Anolis sagrei: one gene and its partners. The protein of the gene in region 1 purifies or fractionates together with the protein of each later gene. This does not show direct contact. Links are inferred from orthologs where the notes say so. Each region holds a gene or a part of one and is shown in the gene's direction. Other genes may lie near its edges.

Region 1 (8,436 bases):
AGTTTGTCTCTGGACCTGATCTTTGTTATGAATATTTAATAATATATTTTGTTTGAAGATCATGGCATAACAGATGAGTTATGCTAAACCTCAGGAGAATGAGAATCTTCAAGCAGTCTACCACGTGGAATATGAAATACTTGTAATTTAAACACAATGATGCTGTTTTGTTGCTGAGATTCCACCTGAGATGCTAAATCTCCTTGGTTTCTCTCCTAATTGCTCTAGGTCTGAAGAACTGTTGCTGACTACAACAGTGCCAGCATTCCAACTTTATTAAACCTACCAACATCTTAAATGGACTTTCCTATGGTGGTACCCTTATGAAACGGATGACAGCTACTACATCAGTTTGCACATTCTAATCACGTTCCAGTGTCACGAGAGATTTTTACTTATAAATAACCTATGTGTATGCAACTGGTAAAACCAGAGCCTACATCCAGTATTACAGATAAAGAGACATTGTTCATCCGCCAATGTTGTACATGTATGAAAACTGTACTGTATCTACAACAAACCCCATACTTCCTATTGGAGAGTACAATAATGTAAATCCTAAAAGCACCACTATTTTAGCGTAATAAAAGAAAGTCCAAAGAGCTCCTATATAGACTACTCCAGATAACTTTGCTTCATTGGTATTTGTAGCTTATTGTAACTTTTTTAAAAGAAATACAGGATCATCATTGTATTGTACAAAAGCGCTTTGATTAACACAACAGCTATCTAGTTTTTTAATTTTAGGATAAAAAACCTGTGGAGACAGTGACCTAGTCTTATTAAAATGAGTCCTTTCAGTATAATGTCTGCCTAAAGACATTGCCTTTAATATCTGTTGGGAAGGAAATGTCCAGATTTTTCAACCTTTTATTGTATGTTTCCTTTTCCTTGTTTACATAGGGAACAATGTTTATAGTTGTGTGTACAGTGGGGGTCTACAACAAGAAGTGTATATTTTAAAACGATTTTTTAATGATTTAACAATTTTTTTGTAAATCATTTTTGGGCTTCTGCAGCTGTAGATTCTCACTGTGAATTCCCTTGCTTGCTCATGCATAAGTGTATTTGCAATACCAAATATACAGGTTTAGTACTTTTGCCTGTTAGTGATTGTTTTACATGTGTAACGTTTTGGTTGAGATGTTAAATGGTGGACGAGTACTGTGGATGTGAATGTGGGAAGTAATTTTAATCATGTGTAATTGGTCCCAGGGCCTAAGTTGCAGTAATTACCTTTTTGCTGATTTATTTAACAATGCCTTGTTGCTTTGTATGCATTAACGTTTGGGTGTAAAGATTGCGTGTAAAATCCAACAGGGAGCCACAGTATTTAAATTGACCAACCTAATGTTACAACTGCTTTGAGGTGGCCAAATGTAAACTAAAAGCCTTAATTAAAAGTGGTGCAATTTTGTATGACTTAGCATCAGTAGTTCAATAAATTTGGATTGCCATGCAAGGGCTTGCATTACAACTATCTATAAGTGAATGTTTTGTATCTTTTGCTGATGTTAGCCATAAGGTGGTTAAAATACTTGGACAAAAAAAGGATTTAGGACTTGAACATAGGGTTTACAGTTGATACAGAAGTCAACAAGAAAATGGTATTTGTCACCAATAAGTCATCATGGATGTATGCTCCTAAACCACTAATGTTCCAATAATGTAAAATTTCAACAGCAATTTTTGGAATTGGATCAATCTTCATTGCTGTTTTAATTCTTCTAAATCCCAGTCCAATACTGATCACTTTTTAATTTTACATCATATAAACGTATTTCATTATCAGATCCATAACTCTGTTTTAGGGATTAATAAATTAAATTTACCATGCATAGTCTGTTTTAATTTCACTGCGTTAATACATTCATACAATTGGGATAAAACCAAAGACACTCTGTGAACATATTTCTCTTTTGTTTTTATCTATTCATGACTTTGATTTTTGTAGCTTTCTTGAAGCTTCTCTTCCAAATGGAGCAAATGTAAAAAGCAGTTACATCATTTTTTGTAGTTCTCAGGATTTTTTCCTACAATCCCAACATATAGTTGTTGTTGTGGGCTCTATTTACCCTCTCACCTCTTTAGATCAATCTGGAAGGGCCCTCTAGATACAAAAAAACACCTGGCTCCAGTAATTCCTTTCTTATTAGAAATGGGATTCGAAAGGACTAATCTAATTAATCTCATTGAACTATTCTTGAATATGAAGTTTTAAGTCTTGCAACCTAAAACCAAGCTGAACCAAAAACTAAGTAAAGAACCAACAGGGTAATATACAGCTTGTTGATTTCTTGGCAGTAGAGAGAGCATTCATGGCGAAATTCCCATTTAGGCTACACATTTCATGTCCTATTTCTTATCTTAATTGATTTGATTTTGTTTGCATCGCTTGACTGGTCTTTTAATTTTAGAGCACAGGGGATTTCTTCTTGCACTATCTAGGAAGTTCACAGATGGTGCAGAAGTAAACACAGAAATGTAGCTGATTCTCAGATACCGAATACTCATCTATGAACCTTTCCTTGATACTCCTTCAGTTCAGAAGAAAAAAGAGGATAAAGTGTATAGCTAAGAATAGAAAAAGTGTACAACATCAGAGATCCCATATTTTATGATGGATGAAAAGACGACTGACCTCAGCAGGTAGAGAACAAGAAACGCTGCAATGAAATCCTCCTTTATGTACCATTAAGAGCCCTCACAAAGCTATGCATCTATGGCTGAGCCAGCTATATTTGGAAGCCCTTTCTTTCTGAAGGAGGACTGAAAGAGATAGCATATTTTGCAACATCTCAAAGAATTAAACCAGGATGCACGTGGCCAGGCAACATCTGAATGTGGCAAAAGTTATTAATAAAGAACATACAAGCCAGGAAGTCTTCACCTGTTTGCTTTTACCTGTGCCACTGGAAAAGAATGGGTTTTGTCTCTTCTTCTGTGTGGCCTTGCACGGATTGTTTTTCCTTTGCTTTCAAAACATTTTTGTAGTTGGATCTGTAAGCTTTATCATCATTAGGGCATGAGTGGCTGAAAAACCTGGTGAAAACAGGATGGCACCAAAAAAGAGAACTGTTCATTCTGTTTCATAGCTATGTATGTAAGCACAGCTTCCCTTCCAGAAGAACATTAAGGCTCAAAGTGAGGTACAACATGGTTAAAACCAACAAATGCAACACCATTAAGATGCATATATCAAAATATTTTTTATTTAGAACTTTTGTATCCCGTTCTACTCTACCTCCGTGGAGGGATTCAGACCACGGCTAATAGCAAAAATTCAATGCTTTACAATACATAACATAAATAACATACACAGTAAGTTCTAAAATGCATATAAAAGACAATCATCAGGTTAAAAACATCATCCAACTCAATCCAATTATTCATTGAATCTTCGTCTATGCCGGATCATCTATCAAACTGCGAATGCCTGATTCCAGAGCCAGGATTTTAGCTGCTTCCTGATTGATAAGAGGAAGGGGGCAGACCTAATCTTGCCAGGGAGAGAGTTCCATAGCCAGAGGTAACCACAGAAAAGGCCCTGTCTCTCATCCCCACCAACCACGACTGCGAAGGTGGTGGGATCGAGAGCAGGGCCTCTCCAGATGATCTTAGCATCCTTGATGGTTTATAGGAGGAGATGCATTCGAACAGGTAAACCGGGCCAGAGCTGTGTAGGGTTTTATAGGTTAAAACCAGCACTTATGCACTAATACCAATAAAGGAAAGCCAATACACTCCAAAATTTTCAACATGGGTAACAGATGGGGTGCATCTACACCCTCCAGGTGTTTTGGACTTCAACTCCCACAATTCCTAACAGCCTACTGTTCGGAATTGTGGGCCAAAGTTTGCCCATGCCTGATCCACACTGTAGAAGTAATGCAGTTTGACACCACTTGAACTGTCATGGCTGAATACTGTGAAATCCTGCCAGCTCTAGTTTTGGATGGTCTTTAGTCCTTTCTGCCAAAGAGTACCAGTATCACCCCAAGTCCCAGGATTCCAGAACATTGAACCATGCCAGTTATAGTAGTATCAAACCCCATTCATTCTGCAGAGTAGTTGCACCCATAGTGACACCTTTACTTTAGGGTGGTTTTGTGTACTGCGTAGTACCGTTTAGGTCACGTGTAGGTGTCTAAAGTCTGAGCCCTACAAGAATTTCGCATTTAGACCCGAGTCCTAGACTTCATGATACAAATACTCGGAAATTTTTTGTTTATGTGATTTATATTGTTTTGTATTGATTGTTTTTGTTATTGCCTTGTTTACTGATGTACTGTGGGCTTGACCTCATGTAAGCTGCACCGAGTCCCTTGGGGAGATGGTAGCGGGGTATAAATAAAGTTTTATTATTATTAAATGCCAAAAAAGGGGCACTGAATCTGCCCATCAGTTGTCAAATAGCGGCTTTTCTGGCACCTTTAACCTGCAATCTCTCATCAGGGCCCTTCCACACAGCCATAAAACCCAGAATATCAAGGCTGAAAATCCCACAATATCTGCTTTGAACTGGGTTTTCTGAGGGCCCTTTAACACAGAATATCAAGGCAAAATAACCCCCAATATCTGCTTTGAACTGAAATGCATGGCAGTGTGGACTCAGACAACCCAGTTCAAAGCAGATATTGTGGAATTTTCTGCCTTGATATTCTGGGATTTATGGTTGTGCGGAAGGGCCCTGAGTCCACGCTGCCATATATTCCAGTTCCAAGCAGATACTGCGGGGTTTGATTGAGCTGTCAGGAAGGGGCCCCAAACTTCCTTCCAGCGATGGAAAACTTTCCCGCCACGCCCAAAGCGGTGGGGGCTAGGCGGTCTTCCTCGCCTGCAGGGGGCGCCATGTGTACATCTCCATGGAGCTATTCCCTTGTCTCGGGAGAGAGCCTCCTGCCCTCATCCGGGTCCTGAGTTTCACTTCCGCTTCCGGCGGGCGGGAAGTCTCAAGCAACAAGCGGCAGCCGGCACTCGGCTGTGGAGAGCAGGTGAGTATGGCGGAAGGTCTATAGGCGAGTCAAAGGCTGGAGGGGAGGCGTGAGCATTGGGTTGAGAGGTGAGGCCCTCCCGCCTTCTATAGTTCAGCAGCCGAGGAAGAAATGGCCTCAGGCATGTCCTTCGCCTCAGCAAAGCAGCCAAGGCCTCTTCTCTTTTCTTTCCCGCCGCTTCAGCTTCAAGATTCGGCCTTTCTCCAGGTGTTTTGGACTTCAACTCCCACAATTCTTAACAGCCTCGGGCCCCTTGGTTTTCCCCCTCAGCCGGGGATTGGAAAGCAGAAGGTGTCACTGTCTCAGTCACTCACTTGGGGATTCTGAAGTCTTGAATTTCAGATAAGGGATGCTCGAGCATTGAGCCTCTCGGAAGTGCCCGTTCGCTTTCACACTGCACTGCTTGGATGGCAATTTAATCACCTTTTCTCTGGGATATACAGTTTTGTGAGGGACGTAGGATTGTCTCTATTATGGGGAAGGTGAAAGAGACAGCCCCACAAAAGATAGGTAACATTAGCTATGTTAGGAATTCTCAATTATTTCACTGTAGCTAAAAACGATTAACCTCCCCCAGTCCAGTAAACATGTATTTGAATTTAGAATAATAGAATCAAAGAGAGTTGGAAGAGACCTCATGGGCATTCCTGATAGATGGCCATCCAGCCTCTGTTTAAAAACTTCCAAAGAAGGAGCCTCCACCACACTCCGGGGCAGAGAGTTCCACTGCTGAACGGCTCTCACAGTCAGGAAGTTCTTCCTCATGTTTAGATGGAATCTCCTTTCTTGTAGTTTGAAGCCATTGTTCCCCATCCTAGTCTCCAGGGAAGCAGAAAACAAGCTTGCTCCCCCCTCCCTGTGACTTCCTCTCACATATTTATACATGGCTATCATATCTCCTCTCAGCCTTCTCTTCTTTAGGCTAAACATGCCCAGCTCCTTAAGGTGCTCCTCATAGGGCTTGTTCTCCAGACCCTCAATCATTTTAGTCATCCTCCTTGGGACACATTCCAGCTTCTCAACATCTCTCTTCAATTGTGGTGCCCAGAATTGGACACACTGTTCCAGGTGTGGTCTAACCAAGGTGGAATAGAGGGGTAGCATTACTTCCCTAGATCTAGACACTGTGCTCCCCCTTTCTTGAAACAGTGGGCTGTTAAATGGGGCTTACTCCCAGCTAAGTATGTATATTTTATTATTTATTTACTGTATTTTCACCCAGGCCTTCTCAACCCCGTAAGGGACTCAAGGTAGCTTATATATATAGGCAACAATTAGATGCCAAAAACACACATAATAAAAAAATAAGCATTAAAAAAACCAAAATCCATGGGTGCTCACATCCCATCATACACAACGGCATAGTAAAATTGTGGCCTTTGTATGTATTGGCAAATTGAAGGTTTGGTTTTTGGATTTCAAAAAAATGTTTTCAAACCATGGATGATTGAATCTGTGGTTGGGCGACTGCAGGAAAAATCAGTTGCCTGAGGTGTTCCTCTCATTCCTTCATAGAGAATTAACCTTAGTAGGTACTTTGGAATATTACTGTGACTGGCAGATGTTCTTCACACTGTTCTCATTCATTCACACTGTTCCTTGGAATATTACTGTGACTGACATGTTCTTTACACTGTTCTCATTCATTCACACTGTTCCTTGGAATATTACTGTGACTGACAGATGTTCTTTACATTGTTCTCATTCATTCACACTATTCTTTGGAATATTGGAATAACTGGTATGTTCTTTATACTATAGCCATTCATTCATTCATACCATTCCACAGGAATATTACTGTGACTAACAAGTATTCTTTACACTGTTCTCATTCATTCACTCACCCTGTTCCTTGGAATGTTATGTGACTGACAGGTGTGCTTTTACAGTATCTATTCATTCATTCTCACCGTTCCTTGGAATATTAGTGTGGCTGACAGCTGTTTCTCACATTATTCTCATTAATTTATTCCCCTTTTCTTCCCACAACTTGAAAGTGTTATTCTTTTGGACCCCAATAGCCAGGTTCCTTCAGATAGAATGGTCAATAGGGACTAGACTTTAAAAATTGAAAATTTTCCAAGTTTGGCTCTCTTAGAGATCAATGGTTTTCAAAAAGTGGAGTGTGTGTATGTGCTTGCATATGCAAGTGCAACAAGTCTGATAAACTTACTTTGGCTTCCGGCCTGATTTGGTTTTTTCCCCCCATCTTGCATCAGTCCAGAAATCTATGAAGGCCTTCATCCTCAAATCTTTCTCTGGGTGCCTTGCCATCTGAACACAATGAGAAGGAGTATCTTTTCAATAGCGGCACTTCACTGCTAGATTTTCTCTCTAGAGCAGGCCTGCCTGGGTACCCATGTTAATTGTCATGTTACTGGTGCTGTACAAGCATACTGGTACTAAGCAAACTAATTCTGCTTTTGCAGGCTTTCTAGAACTTGTAATGTAGGATTCTGAACTTTCAATCAGACTTTATTTTTGCAATCTGTTTCATTGTACTATTCTTATTTTATTTTATTCTGGTTTGTATTCCTTATGTTTTCATAATAAGGAGGACTGGGATACTCTAGACCAGTGTTTTTCAACCTGTGGGTCCCCAGATATTTTGGCCTTCAACTCCCAGAATCCTAACAGCTGGTAAACTAGCTGGGATTTCTGGGAGTTGTTGGCCAAAACACCTGGGGACCCACAATAATGCCATTGGAATGCTGGCTGACTTACTTGTGCCCCATGGCCATCATGGTACACTTTAAAGAACAACTAAAACAGCCATTGTTCATCTATTTTAATTGTTTTACTACGTCAGATGTTTTAATGTTAATTATGTTTTAATGTACTTTGTTTTATGTGTTTATTTGTATCATGTTTTTCATTTTTGATGTTTAATTTTCTTCATTAATTGCATTCTTCAGACAATTAGTTCACTATTGTTATTTTGTATCATGTCATATTGCCTTGATGTATTTGTACTTGTTTGAAAGTTTGCCTTTTTGTGTGTGTAAACCGCCCTGAGTCCTCTTGGAAAAAGAGGACAGTCTAGAAGTGTTTTATTATTACTATATTATTCATAGCTACAAGCAATTCTTCTCTTAATGAAAAAGAGACAAAGCTAAGAATTGCGTTTCTCCGAACTCTTCCTGCTTGATTGCTCATTCAATAGAAACAGAGAAGGATACATTGCAATACAAATTAGTTTCATTGATTCTTTTCCCTTTCCAGAAATGTCTGAAGAAATAACTCAGCCAGTTCGGAAGCAGAGTTCGCAAAAAAAAGTTTCGAGTATCCTTTTTTGAGGCCTATTAGAATGGTCTCAATGTTTGCATTTCTTCCCGAATTCTCATAAATTATGTTTGTTTGGTTTTTAATTTTTTTTTTTATGTTGACACTGGTCATGGTATTACATATTTAACATAAATTAAAATACATTTTTTCCCTTTCT
Region 2 (8,558 bases), on another chromosome or scaffold:
CAAAAGAATGGTTTATCCCAAGGCAGCGTTTACTAACAATCAGCCACAGCCACCACTCACAAAGAGCTTTCTATATGCTGATAACCTTGGCTAATAACACAAGCAAAAAGACTTTGAAACAATCGAAAAACAACTTACAAATGCCTTGAAGGATCTCTCCAGCTACTACAAAGATAACCACTTGAAGCCTAACCTGCCAAGACACAAGTGTGTGCTTTCCATCTACATAATCACATGTGTATATTGTAAACCGATCCGAGCCTTTGTGGAGTGGTGGTATATAAAATTGATTAATAAATAAATAAAATAAAAAATAATTGTGAAGCCAACAGGAAATTGAAGGTTATCTGGGAAGGCCAAGAGCTTGAACACTGTTTCCACCCTAAATATCTAAGCATCATCTTAGATCGAACGCTAACATTTAGGAAATACTGTGCAAACAAGTACAAAATAGCTACACACAGTAACATTCTGCGGAAACTTACTAATTGTGCATGGGACACAGACCCAAAATTAATAAGATCATTAGCCCTGGCACTATTTTACTCAAATGCTGAGTATGCCTGCCCCAATTGGCATAAATCTGCTCATATGAGGCAGGTGAATAAATGAGAAATGTAGAACAATCATAAAGTCTTAAACCTACACCTGTTAATAGACTCTATAAGTTAGCTGGCATCCCCCCCCCCCTCCTATGTGCAATGGGAAGTTGCTGCCAGTTAAAAGAGAAATAAGGTTCAACACTGTGAAAGCCACCCACTATATGGCTACCAGCCTCCTCCCAGTAGACTTAAATCAAGGAAAAGTTTCATGAGAACCACCACTCCTCTAAATGTTCCTCCAGTAAAAGCAAATAATATCCCTGTGGGCAGCAAAATCAAGCAATTCCAACTGGATGGCCCCCCATGAGGGTCTTCTTCCAGGGGCAAACTTGGAAGTCCCTGAACAGACTCAGAAGTGGAGTGGGCAGATCAAAAACAACCTGGAAAAATGGCACTCCTACAAGAATCCTCCATCTTGTGCAACTGTGGAGCAGAACAAGCAACTTAGCATCTCTATGCTTGCCCTCAATGCCCTGCCTCGTGCACAGAGGAAGAACTGTTTAAAGCTACGGACAGCATTGTTACCCGTTTTTGGTCTAAAACTATCTAACAGCTTGTGATCACTTTATTTTATCCGTTTGAGACAAACTATTTTATGCAGTGCTCTTGACACGAAATACTAAAAGCTAGAAACTTCAAGATGTAATAAAAGTTGCATGATAATTTCTACTTAGGAAAGAAACACTCAAAACCAAGAGGGATGTTTTAGTATACCAAACATCACATGACACTCACCTGCCCCACTAAGAGACCAATGGCAAAAGGTTTTGAAGTGGTGATGAGATCCAAGAGATACTGCCCCACAGCTTCTTCAACAAAGCAGCTTCTTCCCATGATTGTTAGTATCTAAGAGCCCAGCAAAAACCATTAAAAACAAGGAGAGAGAAAATGAAAAGTGCTTGGAATTAAAAGAGAAAGTATCCTAATAATGGTTTAGGGGGCTTTGAGTAGTTTTAGGCTGAATTGTTTCTAACAGGTGTTTACTTATTTTTTAATTGTATTTTAATTGTTTTAAGGATTGTAAGCAATTTAACTTTATTTTAAACCTGACTTTTGTGGGGTTTTTTTGATAGTATTGTTTTTTGTGAGCTGCAGGGTAGAAATACACAGTATAATACAGGGTGAGGCAGGATAACCTCCTTTTTAAAAAACTTAATAAAACTCATTGTATGAATCAGATTTTTTTTATAATGTAGGCGCATACCTAAAATTTTGTTTTACGTAGTTTTGAAGATTAAATTAAAGTATAATACAGGGTGAGGCAGTATAACCTCCTTTTTAAAAAACTTAATAAAACCCATTGTATGAATCAGATTTTTTTATAATGTAGGCGCATACCTAAAATTTTGTTTTACGTAGTTTTGAAGATTAAATTAGGTAGGTGACGTTCCCCATTCTCCATACACTGAGTAAATCAATTTCTGGCATTTGTCATGACTCTTGCCAGCATAGCAGGTGTTATATTGGCCAGTTCTTCCTGAATGTTGGTCTTTAAATCTTGGACGGCTCACATAAACACAGGATTTCAAAAAACCCCATAGAAAAAAAATCACAAGGGGCCAAATCTGGAGAGCGGGCCAGCCACTCCAAATCCGCTCGAAAAGTAGGCCTCAACAGCAAAAGCACGCTCCTCACTGTTCCAACGCATGATGGCGACTGAACTGTGTCAGGACAAAACTTTATACTCCCACCTCTTGAACGAGACCACTAACGCTCTGTTACGTCTTCAACCAACTGAATGGCACGCTTTTTAAAAAAGGAAGTTATGCTGACTCACCCTGTATAACCATGATGATGACGGAACTGTCTTCCTTATTAAAAATGCTTGGAACCAGAGATGTTTTGGACTTCAGATTTGGGAATATTTGCATAATGAGATATCTGAGAGATGGCACCCAGCATGGAATTTTATTAGGCTTTCTTATAAATCTTGCAGACATAGCCTGAAAGTTGTTTTATACACAAGATTTTAAATAATATTGGTCATGAAACGCTTTACATACAGTGGCCTACTGGAAAACAAAGTGACACTGTCTCAAGCAACTTGGGTGGACAATTTTAGATTTGGGAGTATTTCAGGATTCCAGAATCCTGAAAAATTCCAAAAAATCTCCAAAACCTATAATTGTCTCTGCAGTATTTATATGAAAGGGATTCTCCTTCTTCACTGACATATAATATCCAGAGTATGCGCTTTGATCTGGATTATAAGGCAATGTGGATTTATATGTTGTTGCTCATTCGTTCAGTCGTTTCCGACTCTTTGTGACCTCATGGACCAGCCCACGCCAGAGCTGCCTCTCGGCCGTCACCACCCCCAGCTCCTTCAAGGATTATTAAATTATTAAATTAAATTATTAAATTACATTATTAAATTATTCACAATTAAAACTTGTGCGCCAGCTGCGCCCGTACCTTGGGAAGTCTGACTTGGCCACAGTAGTCCACGCTCTGGTTACATCCCGCATAGATTACTGCAACGCGCTCTACATGGGGTTGCCCTTGAAGACTGCCCGGAAGCTTCAGATGGTCCAGCGCTCGGCAGCCAGGTTGCTAACGGGAGCGGCACTCAGGGAGCATACCACTCCTCTGTTGAGCCAGCTCCACTGGCTGCCAATTTGCTACTGGGCACAATTCAAGGTGCTGGCGTTAGCCTATAAAGCCCTAAACGGTTCTGGCCCTACTTACCTCTCCGAATGCATCTCCACCTATGAACCGACTAGGACATTAAGATCGTCCGGGGAGGCCCTGCTCTCGGTCCCGCCTGCGTCACAGGCGCGCTTGGCGGGGACGAGGGACAGGGCCTTCTCGGTGGTGGCCCCTCGGCTATGGAATGCCCTATCTGTAGACATCAGACAGGCCCCTTCGCTGCTGGCGTTTCGGAAGAAGGTTAAGACCTGGCTCTATGAACAAGCGTTTGGCTAAACAGTGCAACTGAATATAGGAGGACGGTAAAATTTGATCTCAGGAATGGCACAAGGATTACGAGAACGGATTCTGATTTCATATTGAGGCGTTATGAATTGTTAATGATTGTTTGATTTTGTTGCTGTATATGATGTGTTTTAATTGTTTAGGATATTGTTGTGATAGTATTGATGTTATTGTGATAATTTCATTGTGTAAACCGCATTGAGTCGCCTTATCGGGCTGAAAAATGCGGTATAGAAATAAAGCAAATAAATAAATAAATAAATAAAAGGTCAATCCAGTCACTTCAAGGATGCCATCCATCCATCTTGCCCTCTTCCTTTTTCCTTCCATTTTCCCCAGCATCATTGTCTTCTCTAAGCTTTCCTTTCTTCTCATGATGTGGCCAAAGTACTTCATCTTGGCCTCTACTATTCTTCCCTCCAATGAGCAGTCAATGGACCTTCTGCTGACAATGGAGGCCCAGGTCTCCGCCGTGAGCAAAACCGCCTTCTTTCACCTGCGGCAGGCTAGACGGCTGGCCCCCTACCTGTCCAGGGACGACCTAGCTACGGTGATCCAGGCCACGGTCATCTCAAGGCTGGACTACTGTAACGCCCTCTACATTGGCCTCCCTCTGTCGGTGATTCGGAAGCTCAAGTTGGTACAAAATGCAGCTGCTCGGCTTCTTGCGGGAATTCCGATGAGATGCCACATAACACCAATCTTACTACAGCTGCATTGGTTACCAATTGAGCACTGGATCACTTTCAAAGTGATGGTACTCACCTTTAAGGCCTTGCATGGTCTGGGGCCAATGTATCTGAGGGATCGTCTCACCCCCTACCAACCCCAGAGATCCCTCCGCTCTGAGGACCAAGATCTATTGGAAGTCCCCAGTGTCAAGACCTTGCGTCTAACGGCAACCAGACGCAGAGCCTTCACAGCAGTGGCGCCATCAGTCTGGAATGCTCTGCCACCTGAAGTTCGTGCCCTGCGAGACTTACCAGCTTTCCGCAGGGCATGTAAGACATACCTGTTCTGACAGGCTTTTAATGTTTGATACTGTTGTTTTTAAATTGCTTTAAATTGCTTTTAAACTTTGTTAGATTTTAGCTATCCTTGTAAGCCGCTCCGAGCCCCAGGGGAGTGGCGGCATATAAGTTTAAATAATAAATAAATGAATAATTATGCGGATTTATATAATACAGTTCAAAGGAGATGTGGATTGTCTGATTTGACAATCAGGATTATATGGCAGTGTAGAAGGGGCTGATAAGAGTTTTTTATGTAAAATGCCAAAGTGACAGCTGAGGAGAGTCAACACCACACAGGAAAAGATCTCCTTCTGTGCAGTTCCACTATCCCAGTTCGATCAATTCACAATCTGTTTTCCATTCTGAGATTTTGCCTGCGAAGGCTCCCCCTTCCCTTCCTTCCCGCCTATGAATGCAACCAAAGCGGCCTTCTCCTTCTCACCAAAGAGGGGTTTCCTTATTGCATGTATTCCACCCTGTCAAGGCAGCTTCCCCATCACCAAGGCACCAGCTGGCTCCCTCTTGCCGTACACACTGAGGTGGCCTAACCTCCGTCATCTCCTGGTCGCCCAAAACGGGGCGCACTGTGATGACGACACCACACGCGCAGTTTCTAAATCAGCCGCTCAAGTCAGCCCGCGCGCGGCTGCCATTGTGAGTGTGGCGGAAGTAGAGCGATTCCACTAAATTGCTCCTCTTTTTTTTTTTAGTTCTCTTGTGGGATTTCCGCCTCGCGGGAAAGGAAAGCCGCCTAAAATTGCGAATGAAACCAAAGCATTCCACGTGAAAAACGTAGAAAAGGGAAAAAGCAGCTTGCCGCTCTCCTACCTCTTAGGTTTGAGGAGCGGCGGCAGCGTTCTGCGCACGCGCCAGTCCATCCGTGCGCATGCGCGCCGGTGCCTCCGCGCCCTGGCCTTCTCTGGAGCAGATCGCAGGCCAAGATGGCGGTGGTGTTGCAGCAGGTCCTGGAGCGGGCCGAGCTGGCCAAGCTGCCCAAGGTCGTGCAGGGGAAGCTGGAGCGCTTCCTGGCCGACCAGCAGAGCGAGATCGACGCGCTTCGCACCCGGCACGAGCGCTACAAGGTGGACAGCGGTGAGTGAGGCCTCGTAAGAGAGACCTTGTTTAGCCTGAAGAAGAGAAGGCTGAGAGGAGATATGATAGCCATGTATAAATATGTGAGAGGAAGCCACAGGGAGGAGGGAGCAAGCTTGTTTTCTGCTTCCCTGGAGACTAGGACGCGGAACAATGGCTCCAAACTACAAGAGAGGAGATTCCATCTGAACATTAGGAAGAACTTCCTGACTGTGAGAGCCGTTCAGCAGTGGAACTCTCTGCCCCGGAGTGTGGTGGAGGCTCCTTCTTTGGAAGCTTTTAAACAGAGGCTGGATGGGCATCTGTCAGGGGTGATTTGAATGCAATATTCCTGCTTCTTGGCAGAATGGGGTTGGACTGGATGGCCCATGAGGTCTCTTCCAACTCTTTGATTCTATGATTCTATGAAAGAAAGGGCCATTGGTTTCAAGCCCTGGAGTCAAAGGAGGACCGCGAGAACGCAGCTATAATTTCGTGGCCCTTTGTGTAGGCTGGGGTTTGGATACCGAATTCCCTGGATCAGGCCCGTAGCCAGGATTTTGATTCGGGGGGTGCTGAGTTTGATTCGGGGTTGGGGGGTGGGTAAGGATCTACCCTAGCAACCCTTTTGTATCGTTATCCCAATACCCCCTTTGCATATGGGATAACATTGAGCATGGTGATCAGATCATGATATGAATAAACATAACAGTTTAAATAATCTACCAATAAGGCCTTCTCGCGGACCACCCTGATAATTTGGGGGGGGGGGGGGAGGAAGGAAGGAAGGAAGGAAGGAAAAGATGGGAAGAATTCATGAATTGGATTAATATGGTCTCTAGGAGCTTCTCTATTGGAAGTTGAATGTAAAGTTGTGCTGGAGGACCCAGAGACTTAGAATCTCTGGGTCAGCTAGCATAACCCTATGGATCTAAAGATTCCTAGAAAGGTATTCTATCAAGTGAAAAGGATAGGATAACTTTCTGTATTAGTTTCAGGCTGAAACTTTCCCTGTATCTATTTGCAGCATTCTTACCCATGTTCATATGTATCTTGTATTGCATGCCATCCTGTGTGTAGTTTTAGCAGTTTATTAATCTGTTTACATTTGTGCACTTTTAGCCACTAAACTAAATTGATCTTTGGATTGTAATAAAATTTTAATTGATGATGAAGTGAAAAATGCATTTTTTCTAAGGAGTTTGGGGAAAACATGCTGCCAAACACTTCCTTGACTGTGGGAAGGCGGTGGTGGCGGCAGCCCTTCCTCCTCCACCTCCTCTTCTTTCAGGGCCCACTGAATCTGAGCAGCTGCCTTCTCCCTGCTTCTCCCTCTCCTCCTTTCCACTTCAAACCAGCCAACATTCAGCTGAAGGGAGAGGAGCTGAGCGGGCTTTTTTGAGGGGGGAAATAGGAAAGCAGGGTAGTGTAGTTTTTTCCCTCTTTCCCTCCTCAACCAGCCAGTTTTCTCCCTCCTCAATCGTTGAGTGGAGGGGGGCGGGTAGTAGAAAGGAATGGAGGAAGATGGAGGAAAGGCTTTATTAACCAGCAGCCTCTAGGCTGACTTCCATGTGTAGATGCCCCTTCTCTGCCATTAGGAAAGGCAAAGGGCTGGTGCCAGTTGAGGGACAGTGAGGGGGGAAAGAAGGAGAGATGGAATTGTGCGTTGCTGCTGCTGCCAGTTCCCAGCAGGAGCAGGTAAGGAAGAGGAGGGTGAATGGGCATCTCTGAGGTACCACAGAACCCAACAAATCAAGGGAGGGAGGTAGCCAATTTTGAGCGTTATCAAATCTAATGTGCACCCTAATTTTTGCAAGGTCATTTAGCCAAAAAGGTGCACATTAGACTTGAGTAAATATGATAAGTCAGACAACCATGTGGGACAAGGGAGTTCCATAAATGTATTGTAGTTTCCAAGAAACGCATGCAGCATATGGCATTCTACTCTGGGATACCATGAGTAAAGTCTGTAGAATGAGGAATAGAATTTGTTTGGTGCTTCTGGTCAGAGAAAATGAAAGGAAATACAGTCTAAAGTGAACACCTTCTGAAATCTTCTGTGCTGTGGTTCTGTGCTGTGGTTCTCGGAAATTGTGATGTCTTCCTAGTTTCTGTGACATTTTGCAGACCTCTTGGATCAAATAATCTCATCTGTTCTCACTTGGAGTACAGGTGCTTTTCATGAGTCGAGCGTATACTCCAGAATGCTTTTGTGGAGACTTATTTGTATAATATCCTGAAGAAACACGTTTTGAAGTAATGTTATTTGGGTATTTGCAGAACAACAGTATTTTGAAGTGGAAAAACGACTGGCTCAGAGTCAGGAGAGACTTGTAAATGAGACACAAGAATGTCAGAATTTGCAACAGGAACTCCACAAACTCAGTAAGTATGGTGATTTAAAAATATTTCATTGTTAGATATTGTTAATTGAATCTTTTGTGTGAAATGTTAAGACAAATATTGACATATTCAACCCATGTATGTGGTTTGTATGTGGAGATGAACAGAACAGAACATTTTTATTTTAGTCAATGGTCAGCATTAAAAGAACCAGAAGACTGTGAATAAAGCATACATTTAGGCATTAAAATACTTTTTAAAGGCGGGGGAGGGATATGAGCACATAGGGAACATGAAGAGGCACAAGGAGGGATATGTGGAGATGTAATACTTCCAACACTTATCGGATGAAAGCTTTCTCTCCCCCCGCCCCCCCCCCCCAAATAATTGCAGGTAATACAAATTTCCATATATAATTGGAAAATAATCCAATATTAGCATCTTTTATAGATTGAAAATCACTTTGTTACTTCAGAACAAAGTAACAGTGATTTAAACTGTGCTTCAAGTATGGAATAAAATTACCAGGTTTGGTACATTTAAAAATTCTATTTAGAAAACTGTTACAAATCGGAATTTTTTTTTTTACAGATAG
Region 3 (8,143 bases), about 28 Mb from region 1:
GTCTGTGCAATTTTCTTGCAACAGCTGAGGATATGATCCATGGTTTCATCAGCTTCCTTGCATAGTCTGCATTTTGGGTCATCCGCTGATTTTTCAATCCTGGCCTTAATTGCATTGGTTCTGATGGCTTGCTTCTGGGCTGCAAGAATCAGGCCTTCTGTCTCCTTATTCAGGGTTCCATTCATGAGAGCCATAACCAGGTCTTCTCCTTGTCAACTTTTCCTTCAATCTTCTCAAGGAACTGCCCATGCAAAGCTTTGTTGTGCCAGCTGTCAGCTCTGGTTTGGAGTGCAGTTTTCTTGTACTGGTTCTTGGTTTGCTGTGCTTTGAGAAGTTTCTGATTGACTTCAATTAAAGCAGGTTCTTGGCTTTCCTTTACATATTCTGCCAGGGAGTGTTTTTCTTCTTCGACTGCTTGTTTTACTTGTAAAAGTCCTCTGCCCCCAGACTTTCTAGGCAGATAGAGCCCGTTGACATCACTGTGAGGATGTAATGAATTATGAATGGTCATGAGTTTTCTAGTTTTTCTGTCCAAATTGTCCAGTTCTGCCTGTGTCCAGTTTATGATGCCAGCAGAGAACTCCAGGTCTCGGCGGTGGCCAGGGGAGCTTTCACACAGTTAAAACTTGTGTGCCAGCTGCACCCATATCTTGTGAAATCTGACTTGGCCATGGTGGTCCATGCTCTGGTTACATCCCGAATACATTACTGCAATGTACTCTATGTGGGGTTGCCTCTGAAGACTGCTCGGAAGCTTCAGCTAGTCCAACGCTCAGCAGCCAGGTTGCTCACGGGAGAGGGGAACAGGGAATGTACAATTCCCCTGTTACGCAAGCTCCGCTGGCTGCCTTTTAGTTTCCGGGCACAATTCAAAGTGCTGGTCTTAACCTATAAAGCCCCAAATGGTTCCTGCCCAGTTTACCTGTCCAAACGTATCTCCCTCCATGAACCACCAAGGACCTTAAGATCATCCAGAGAGGCCTTACTCTCGGTCCTAACGCCATTGCAGTTGCGTGGGTATGAGGCAGGGCCCTCGGCTGTGGTACTCCCTTCCTGATGAGATTAGATCTGCCCCATCCCTCCTGACCTTCCGGAAGAAACTCAAATCCTGGCTGTGGGATCAAGCATTTGCAGAATAGACTGATTTACTGGTGAAGATAAGCTTTAAATGGACTGCAGTGGACTGATTTGGATGTCGATTTGAACCAGCAACTGTTTTAATGTTTTTAATGTATGCTAATTGTATTTTATGTTATTTTATTATATTGTGTCGACATCAAATAGTTGCCTGTTGGAAGCTGTCCTGAGTCCATCTTCAGAGATTGAGAAGGACGGGTATAAATGTTCTGAACAAATAAATAATTCAGACATATTAACTTAATTTGGGCAGTTTACAAATGCAACAATGAATATGTGTTGTTGTTTTGTTGTTTATTCGTTCACTCGCTTCAGACTCTTCATGATCTCATGGAGCAGCCCACATCAGAGCTCAAGGTCAAGCCAGTTACTGTCTCTTAGTACACTAACCTTTTTATTGATTTCTGCAACTGATAGCTGCAAAGCCACCAGCATGGAGTCTATACCACATACAGTTGTCCTTTCAGAATCTGAATATAAGCGCCATTCCTTTCGAAAACACCGAATCATATCCAAGATTCTTTGCTGGACAAATGACATGATCCTAAAACAAATAAAACAAGATATAAAATGAACATAACTGAGAGAGAGGACCTGTGAACATTCAAATGGAAAAGATGGACTAGCGCAAGGGCCCCCAAACTAAGGCCCATGGGCCAAATGCGGTGCTCCAAGGTTATTTACCTGGCCCCCAGTCTAAACTTTACATTTAGGGTTGCCCTAGGTCTGAAACGACTTGAAGACAAACAACAACAATCTTAATTAACTTGACTCTTTCATCAGCCAAATGCAGCCCCACACTGCAGCACATTTTGCCATATTTTTCAATGAATATCTCATAATTTCAACCAATTCAACATAGTTTGTGACAGCTACAACAATGTAGTTTCTGGACTATAACTACTTTCAAAGTACTGCACAATTAAACAGGAATGGCACTTTCAACATAAGAACACAATTTATTTTAGAATTTTAGATTTTAGAAAGGTGGTTTCAAAAAAGGGCATCAGATACGATTTTTTTTGTCATGTCAGGAGCGACTTGAGAAACTGCAAGTCGTTTCTGGTGTGAGAGAATTGTCCATCTGCAAGGACGCTGCCCAGGGGACGCCCGGATGATTTGATGTTTTTATCATCCTTGTGGGAGGCTTCTCTCATGTCCTTGCATGGGGTGCTGGAGTCGATAGAAGGAGCTCATCCGCCTCTCCCCGGATTCGAACCTGTGACTTGTCAGTCTTCAGTCCTGCCGGCACAGGGGTTTAACCCACTGCGTCACTGGGGGCTCCTTGTCAGATATGATAAAGCATCTTTATCATCGGCCATGCCCTGGAACCTGTCCAGATATTCTAGTCTATAATGGGATACAAGTTGCAATTAAACACATCTAAAAGAGAACAACCCGGGGAAGGTTTATCTACATTGACTTAGTGAACAGGACTCACATCTACAGCTGGGCCTAGGCTCCTTGGAAGAAATTTGTTATGTGCCTTCAAGTCATTTCTTAAGATGAATCCCTGGAGTATTACAGCACACCAAAATACACGGAAGTCACTCTGGACCATGCTCTAACCTATAAGAAGAACTGTTTGAATATCAAGCAAAAAGTGTGTGCTAGAAATAATATTGTACAAAAACTGATTGGCACAACCTGGGAATCACAACCAGACACAGTGAAGAAATCTGCCCTTGTGAGTTACTACTCTGCTGCTGACTATGCATGCCCAGTGTGGAATACATCTCACCACATTAAAACAGTGGATGTGACTCTTAATAAGACATGCCGCCCCACACCACTGAAGAAATTACACTGTTTAGCTGGTATTGCACCATCTGACATCTGCTGGGAAGTAGCAGTTAGCAATGAAAGGACCAAGGCAGTGACATATTCGGCCCATCCTCTGTTCGGATATCAATAAGCATGCCAACACCTTAAATCAAGAAACATCTTCCTAAGATCTACAGAGATACTCACGGGAACACCTCAGCAAATGAGAGTCCAAAAGTGGCAGGCTAAAATCCAGCACTTAAATCAGTGGCTGAGACTGGATGATAAACTCCCTCCTGGGCACACAGAAGAGTGGAAAGCGCTGAATAGACTGCCCTCTGGCACCATGAGATGCAGAGCTAACCTTAAGAAATGGGGACCACAAAGTGGAGTCCACGACATGCAAGTGTGGAGAAGAGCAAACCACAGACCACCTACTACAATGTAACCTGAGCCCTGCCACATGCAAAACAGAGGGCCTTCCCACAGTGACACCTGAGGCACTCCAAGTGGCCAACTTCAGGTCAAAGGACATTTAGCATAATGCCAAGTTCTTTTAAACTTTGTGTTTTTTAAATGCATTCTAACTGTACCCTCAACTTGCTTCTGACATGATAAATAAATCGATAACTCATTTCTAACTTATGCTGGCTCTAAAATTGGGAGTTGCTCTGGGCAGAGTGAAGAGAGAGAGGGTTACAATTGAAGACAGTTCCATCTTGTCTCCTGTGCTATACTAATAATATAATATATTGTATATACATATAATATTTATAATATTATAATGTAATACAATATAATACTACTACTAATAATATAATATTATAATTATATATTTTATATTACTTTAAAATTACTAATAATATTACAATGTAATGGTGTAGTACAATATAGTAATATATAATACTGATATTGTTGTTGTTCATTCCTTCAGTCGTTTCTGACTCTTCGTGACCTCATGGACCAGCCCACGCCAGAGTTCCCTGTCGGCCGTCAGCACCCCCAGCTCCTTCAAAGTCAATCCAGTCCCTTCAAGGATGCCATCCATCCATCTTGCCCTTGGTCGGCCTCTCTTCCTTTTTCCTTTCATTTCCCCCAGCATCACTGTCTTCTCTAAGTTTTCCATTCTTCTCATGATGCAGTACTTCATTTTTGCCTCTACTATCTTTCCCTCCAATGGACCAGTACAACTGATATTATACTATGCTAATAATTTAATATATTGTATGCATATATATCTTGCAAGCCACTCTGAGTCTCCTTCGGGGCGAGAAGGGTGGCATTTAAATGTCGTAAATAAATAAATAAAGCAAACCTATCATAGGATTTTCTTGGCAAGATTTCTTTAGAGTGGGGTTTGCCTTTGTTTTGCTCTAAGACAGAGAGGATGAGATTCGGACAAAGCCATTCAGAGGGTTTCCTTGGCCAAGTAAGGATTTGAACCCAAGTCTCCACTGTCACAGTCTAGTGCTCAAACCACTACACTTCTGTTGTCCCTTTTCGCAATATTTATATCAGGACTGGGCAAACTTGGTCCCTCCAGGTGTTTTGGACTTCAACTCTCACAATTCCTAACAGCCGATAGGCTGTTAGGAATTGTGAGAGTTGAAGTCCAAAACACCTGGAGGGACCAAGTTTGCCCAGGCCTAGTCTTCACTGTAGAATTAATGCAGTTTGAGATCACCTTAACTGCGATAATTAAATGCTATGGAATCTTTGGAGGTGTAGTTTGGTGAGGGACAACACTCTTTGCCAGAGATGGAGAAAGGCCTTGTAGACCTTGTAAAACTACAACTCCCTGGGTCCCATAGCCTTGAGCCAGGGCAGTTCAGGTGGAGTCGAGTCCCACTGGAGCCCCACGCCCCTCACCTGGGCACTGCGGCCTTCCTCGAGGCGCTCCCTCCAAGGAGGCTCCTTCCACAGAGCCAAAGAAGCAGCTGTCAGCGGCGGAGGTTTGAATTCGAACGCTGCGCGTCTCAACCAATCGGAAAGCGGGACCCGCGGCGACCCGGAAGAGACTCTCACCCGGAAGCGCAGCTGCCTCACGAATTCTTCGCGGGAGAGTAACAGAACGAATGAGGTGAGCGAGCGAAGGGATTGTTTGCGTGGGAATCCACCGGCCGCTCAACACCCCAGGCCGCTCTAAGTAAGGGAACGTTCATTGATATCTATATCTAAGAAAGTAGTGCTAATGGGTTCTATCCAATGCAATTTTCTGAACTGGCCCCCCAAATAAACCCAGAGACATCCCTAAAAAGCAAGACACCAAAAACGTTTTGTGGGGCTTTGTTATTATTACTATTATTATTTGGAACAATGAGAGTTATCTACAGGCCCGTAGCCAGGATTTCGGGTTTTTTTTGGGGGGGGGGGGTTAAATTTTTTTCGGGGGGGGGGTTTCGGGGGGGGGCTGAGTTTTGGTGGGGGGCTGAGTCTGAGTGAAAGAGGGTCTAGCCTAGCAAACCTTTTGTATCATTATCCCAATACCCCCATGCATATGGGATATATTGAGCATGGTGATCAGATCATGATATGAATACACATAACAGTTTAAATAATGCACCAGTAAGGCCTTCTTGCGTACCACTCTGAATCCCCTCCTAACTGAAGCATATGTCAAATCTGGTAATTCCCATGGCATACTTCCTTGGCAACTGAAGCAATAAACTTTTGATTCTGCCCTCCTTTCTGCATGTCTTGATTGCGAAACATTGGGGTTGGCATGCCAGAAACAAACAAACCTCAGGAGGATATATTGAGCATGGTGATCAGATCATGATATGAATAAACATAACAGTTTAAATAATGCACCAGAAAGGCCTTTTCGCGGACCACCATGAGAATTTCGGGGGGGGGGGGCTGAAGCCCCTCAAGCCCCCCCTCCTCCCCGGCTACATGCCTCGTTATCTAACTATGTGTATGTTTACTATTTAGCTCCTTGTCCAGCTGAGGAGTCTTCCATCTGGTTACTCAGAATACCTCCGCTGAAGATGAAACAGGAAGCTTCCCGAAGTGCATCCTATACTGTGGAATGTGAAGATTATGTGCATGTGGTGGAATTCAGCCCATTTGAGAGCGGAACTGCAGATTCTCTGATAGCATATGGTGGCAATCATTATGTGGTTGTTGGAACTTGCAGGTTTCAGGTTAGTGTGCATTATAGTTAACAGTGACCAGGTACCATGTTAGCCATTCAGCTAGTTTCCAGTGTTTGATAATAGAAACATGTTGGGAAGATTGTTGATATAGTTCCACTTCACTGTCTAATAGTGCCTCTAAATCAGGGGTCCTCAAACTTTTTAAACAGAGGGCTAGGTCACAGTCCCTCTAACTGCTGCAGGGCCGGATTATAATTTGAAAAAAGCATTAATTCCTATGCACACTGCACATATCTTATTTGTAGTGCAAAAACACTTAAAACAATGCAATAATTAAAATGAAGACAATTTTAACAAATATAAACTTATTAGTATTTCAATGGGAAGTGTGGACTTGCTTTTGGCTGATGAGATAGGATAGTTGTTGTTGTTGTTGTTGTGTGCTTTCAAGTTGTTTCAGACTTAGGCTGACCCTGAGCGAGGGCCGGGTATATGAACTTCGAGGGCCGTATTCGACCCTCGGGCCTTAGTTTGAGGATCCCTGCACTAAATGATCTGATAGCTGTCTTGGAAGTGATATTAAGAACTCCCATTCTTTGATATCCAGGCTGAGAGTGATATGTGAAACAGCACAGGACATCATAGTTGCCAAATTGTACGTATTACAGTTAAGTTCCTATTGTAGGAACTACTTTGTGACCATGATGGTAATTTTTAAAATGATCGAATTTACATGATGTTGACCACTGAAGGTCTTGTGAAACAAATTAATCTTACTTGATTGATACCCTAAAAGTTATCGGTAAAAAAAAAATCCATAAACCTGTTGTCTTCAGATTGTATTACATTTGGGAAATAAAATTGTTCATTTTTATGGTTATGTGACTTCCACAATTTTGACAGAACTGGAGGTGGACTTTTGTAGATATGGAACCTCTTGTTAACAGTACCTTTCTGCTTGTACAAGCAATGACTTCCTTTTTAGACCCTTCACCTCCAGATTCTGTTTAAAAGTCCCTAAAGAGGGAGCCTCCACCAGAGGCAGAGAGTTCCACTGCTGAACAGCTCTTACTGTCAGGAAGTTCTTCCTAATGTTAAGGTGGAATCTCCTTTCCTGTAATTTCAACCCATTGCTCCAAGTCCTGGTTTCCAGCACAGCAGAAAACAAGCCTGTTTCCTCTTCCTTATGACATCCTTTCAAATATTTATACATGGTAATAACGTCTCCTCTCAACCTTCTCTTCTGCAAGCTAAACATACCCAGCTCTTTAAGGTGCTCCTCATAGGGATTCATGGTCTCCAGACCTTTGATCATTTTAGTTGCCCTCCTCTGGATCCCGTCCAGCTTGTCAATATCTTCTCTTGAATTGTGGTGTCCAGAATTGGACACAGTAGTCCAGTTGTGGTCTAACCACAGCGGACTAGAGGTGCACCATGACTTCCCTTGATCTAGACTTCTTTTGATGCAGCCCAAACTCCCATTGAATTTTTAAGCTGCTGCATTACATCGTTGGCTCATGTTCAACTTGTGGTCTACTAATGTTAAGGTAATTTTGAATTCTGATGTCTCTCCCAGTTTGATGTCATCTGCAAACTATATAAGCATGCCTTCAAAATCTTCATTCAAGTCATTAATAAAGATGTTGAACAGCACTGGGCCTAGGGCAGAGCCGTGCACCACCCTATTAATCACCTCTGCCCAGGATGAAAAGATTGCTGATCGTTGTTTATTTTTTCCATAGGGTAGGAGCACTTAAAATCTGTTGTTGCAGGACATTTTATCCAGTTTTTTAGTCATTAATATTATAGTTTCCCTGGTTTCAGTCTTCTCCCAAATACCTTTCAGCATCTACATAACCCACTGATAGTTCTGTATATAGGTTTGTGTTGAGGTATTAAACTAATAAGCATCTTTACCCCTTCTGTACTTTTTTCACCATGTAATCTCAGGGAGGCAACTGCAACCTTGGATTTCTGAAGGAAGAACTAGAATTAATAGGAAATACCAATATGAAATCTAATGTTAAGACAGAAGTAGTTGTGCTAATCTGGGTCTAGATTTAAAATCTGATTCTAAATAGACATACATTGACCTTGTATGCAGTCTAGAAGTGCTCTAGGATTCATTTTTGTCCATGGAGGCA

Evidence for each region.
Region 2: the proteins of NUP107 (region 1) and TPR fractionate together in Homo sapiens (co-fractionation; 4 studies listed by BioGRID and IntAct, with this or other methods). This does not show direct contact. The link is inferred for Anolis sagrei from reciprocal best matches to the Homo sapiens genes NUP107 and TPR.
Region 3: the proteins of NUP107 (region 1) and NUP37 purify together in Homo sapiens (affinity purification with mass spectrometry; 7 studies listed by BioGRID and IntAct, with this or other methods). This does not show direct contact. The link is inferred for Anolis sagrei from reciprocal best matches to the Homo sapiens genes NUP107 and NUP37.

Annotation. Positions count from the first base shown.
Region 1 is NC_090025.1:143,085,578-143,094,013, forward strand, and holds the start of NUP107 (nuclear pore complex protein Nup107), read left to right. Parts: upstream 1-4,916; 5' UTR 4,917-4,994; intron 4,995-8,216; 5' UTR 8,217-8,218; coding exon 8,219-8,276; intron 8,277-8,436. UniProt on the Homo sapiens protein: Plays a role in the nuclear pore complex (NPC) assembly and/or maintenance. Required for the assembly of peripheral proteins into the NPC. May anchor NUP62 to the NPC. Involved in nephrogenesis.
Region 2 is NC_090024.1:120,611,777-120,620,334, forward strand, and holds the start of TPR (nucleoprotein TPR), read left to right. Parts: upstream 1-5,436; 5' UTR 5,437-5,490; coding exon 5,491-5,641; intron 5,642-7,900; coding exon 7,901-8,005; intron 8,006-8,558. Other genes in the region: ODR4 (protein odr-4 homolog), read right to left, coding at 1,338-1,436.
Region 3 is NC_090025.1:171,478,610-171,486,752, forward strand, and holds the start of NUP37 (nucleoporin Nup37), read left to right. Parts: upstream 1-4,909; 5' UTR 4,910-4,981; exon of another isoform or gene 4,982-5,047; intron 5,048-5,835; 5' UTR 5,836-5,891; coding exon 5,892-6,047; intron 6,048-8,143. Other genes in the region: PARPBP (PCNA-interacting partner), read right to left, coding at 1,528-1,677. UniProt on the Homo sapiens protein: Component of the Nup107-160 subcomplex of the nuclear pore complex (NPC). The Nup107-160 subcomplex is required for the assembly of a functional NPC.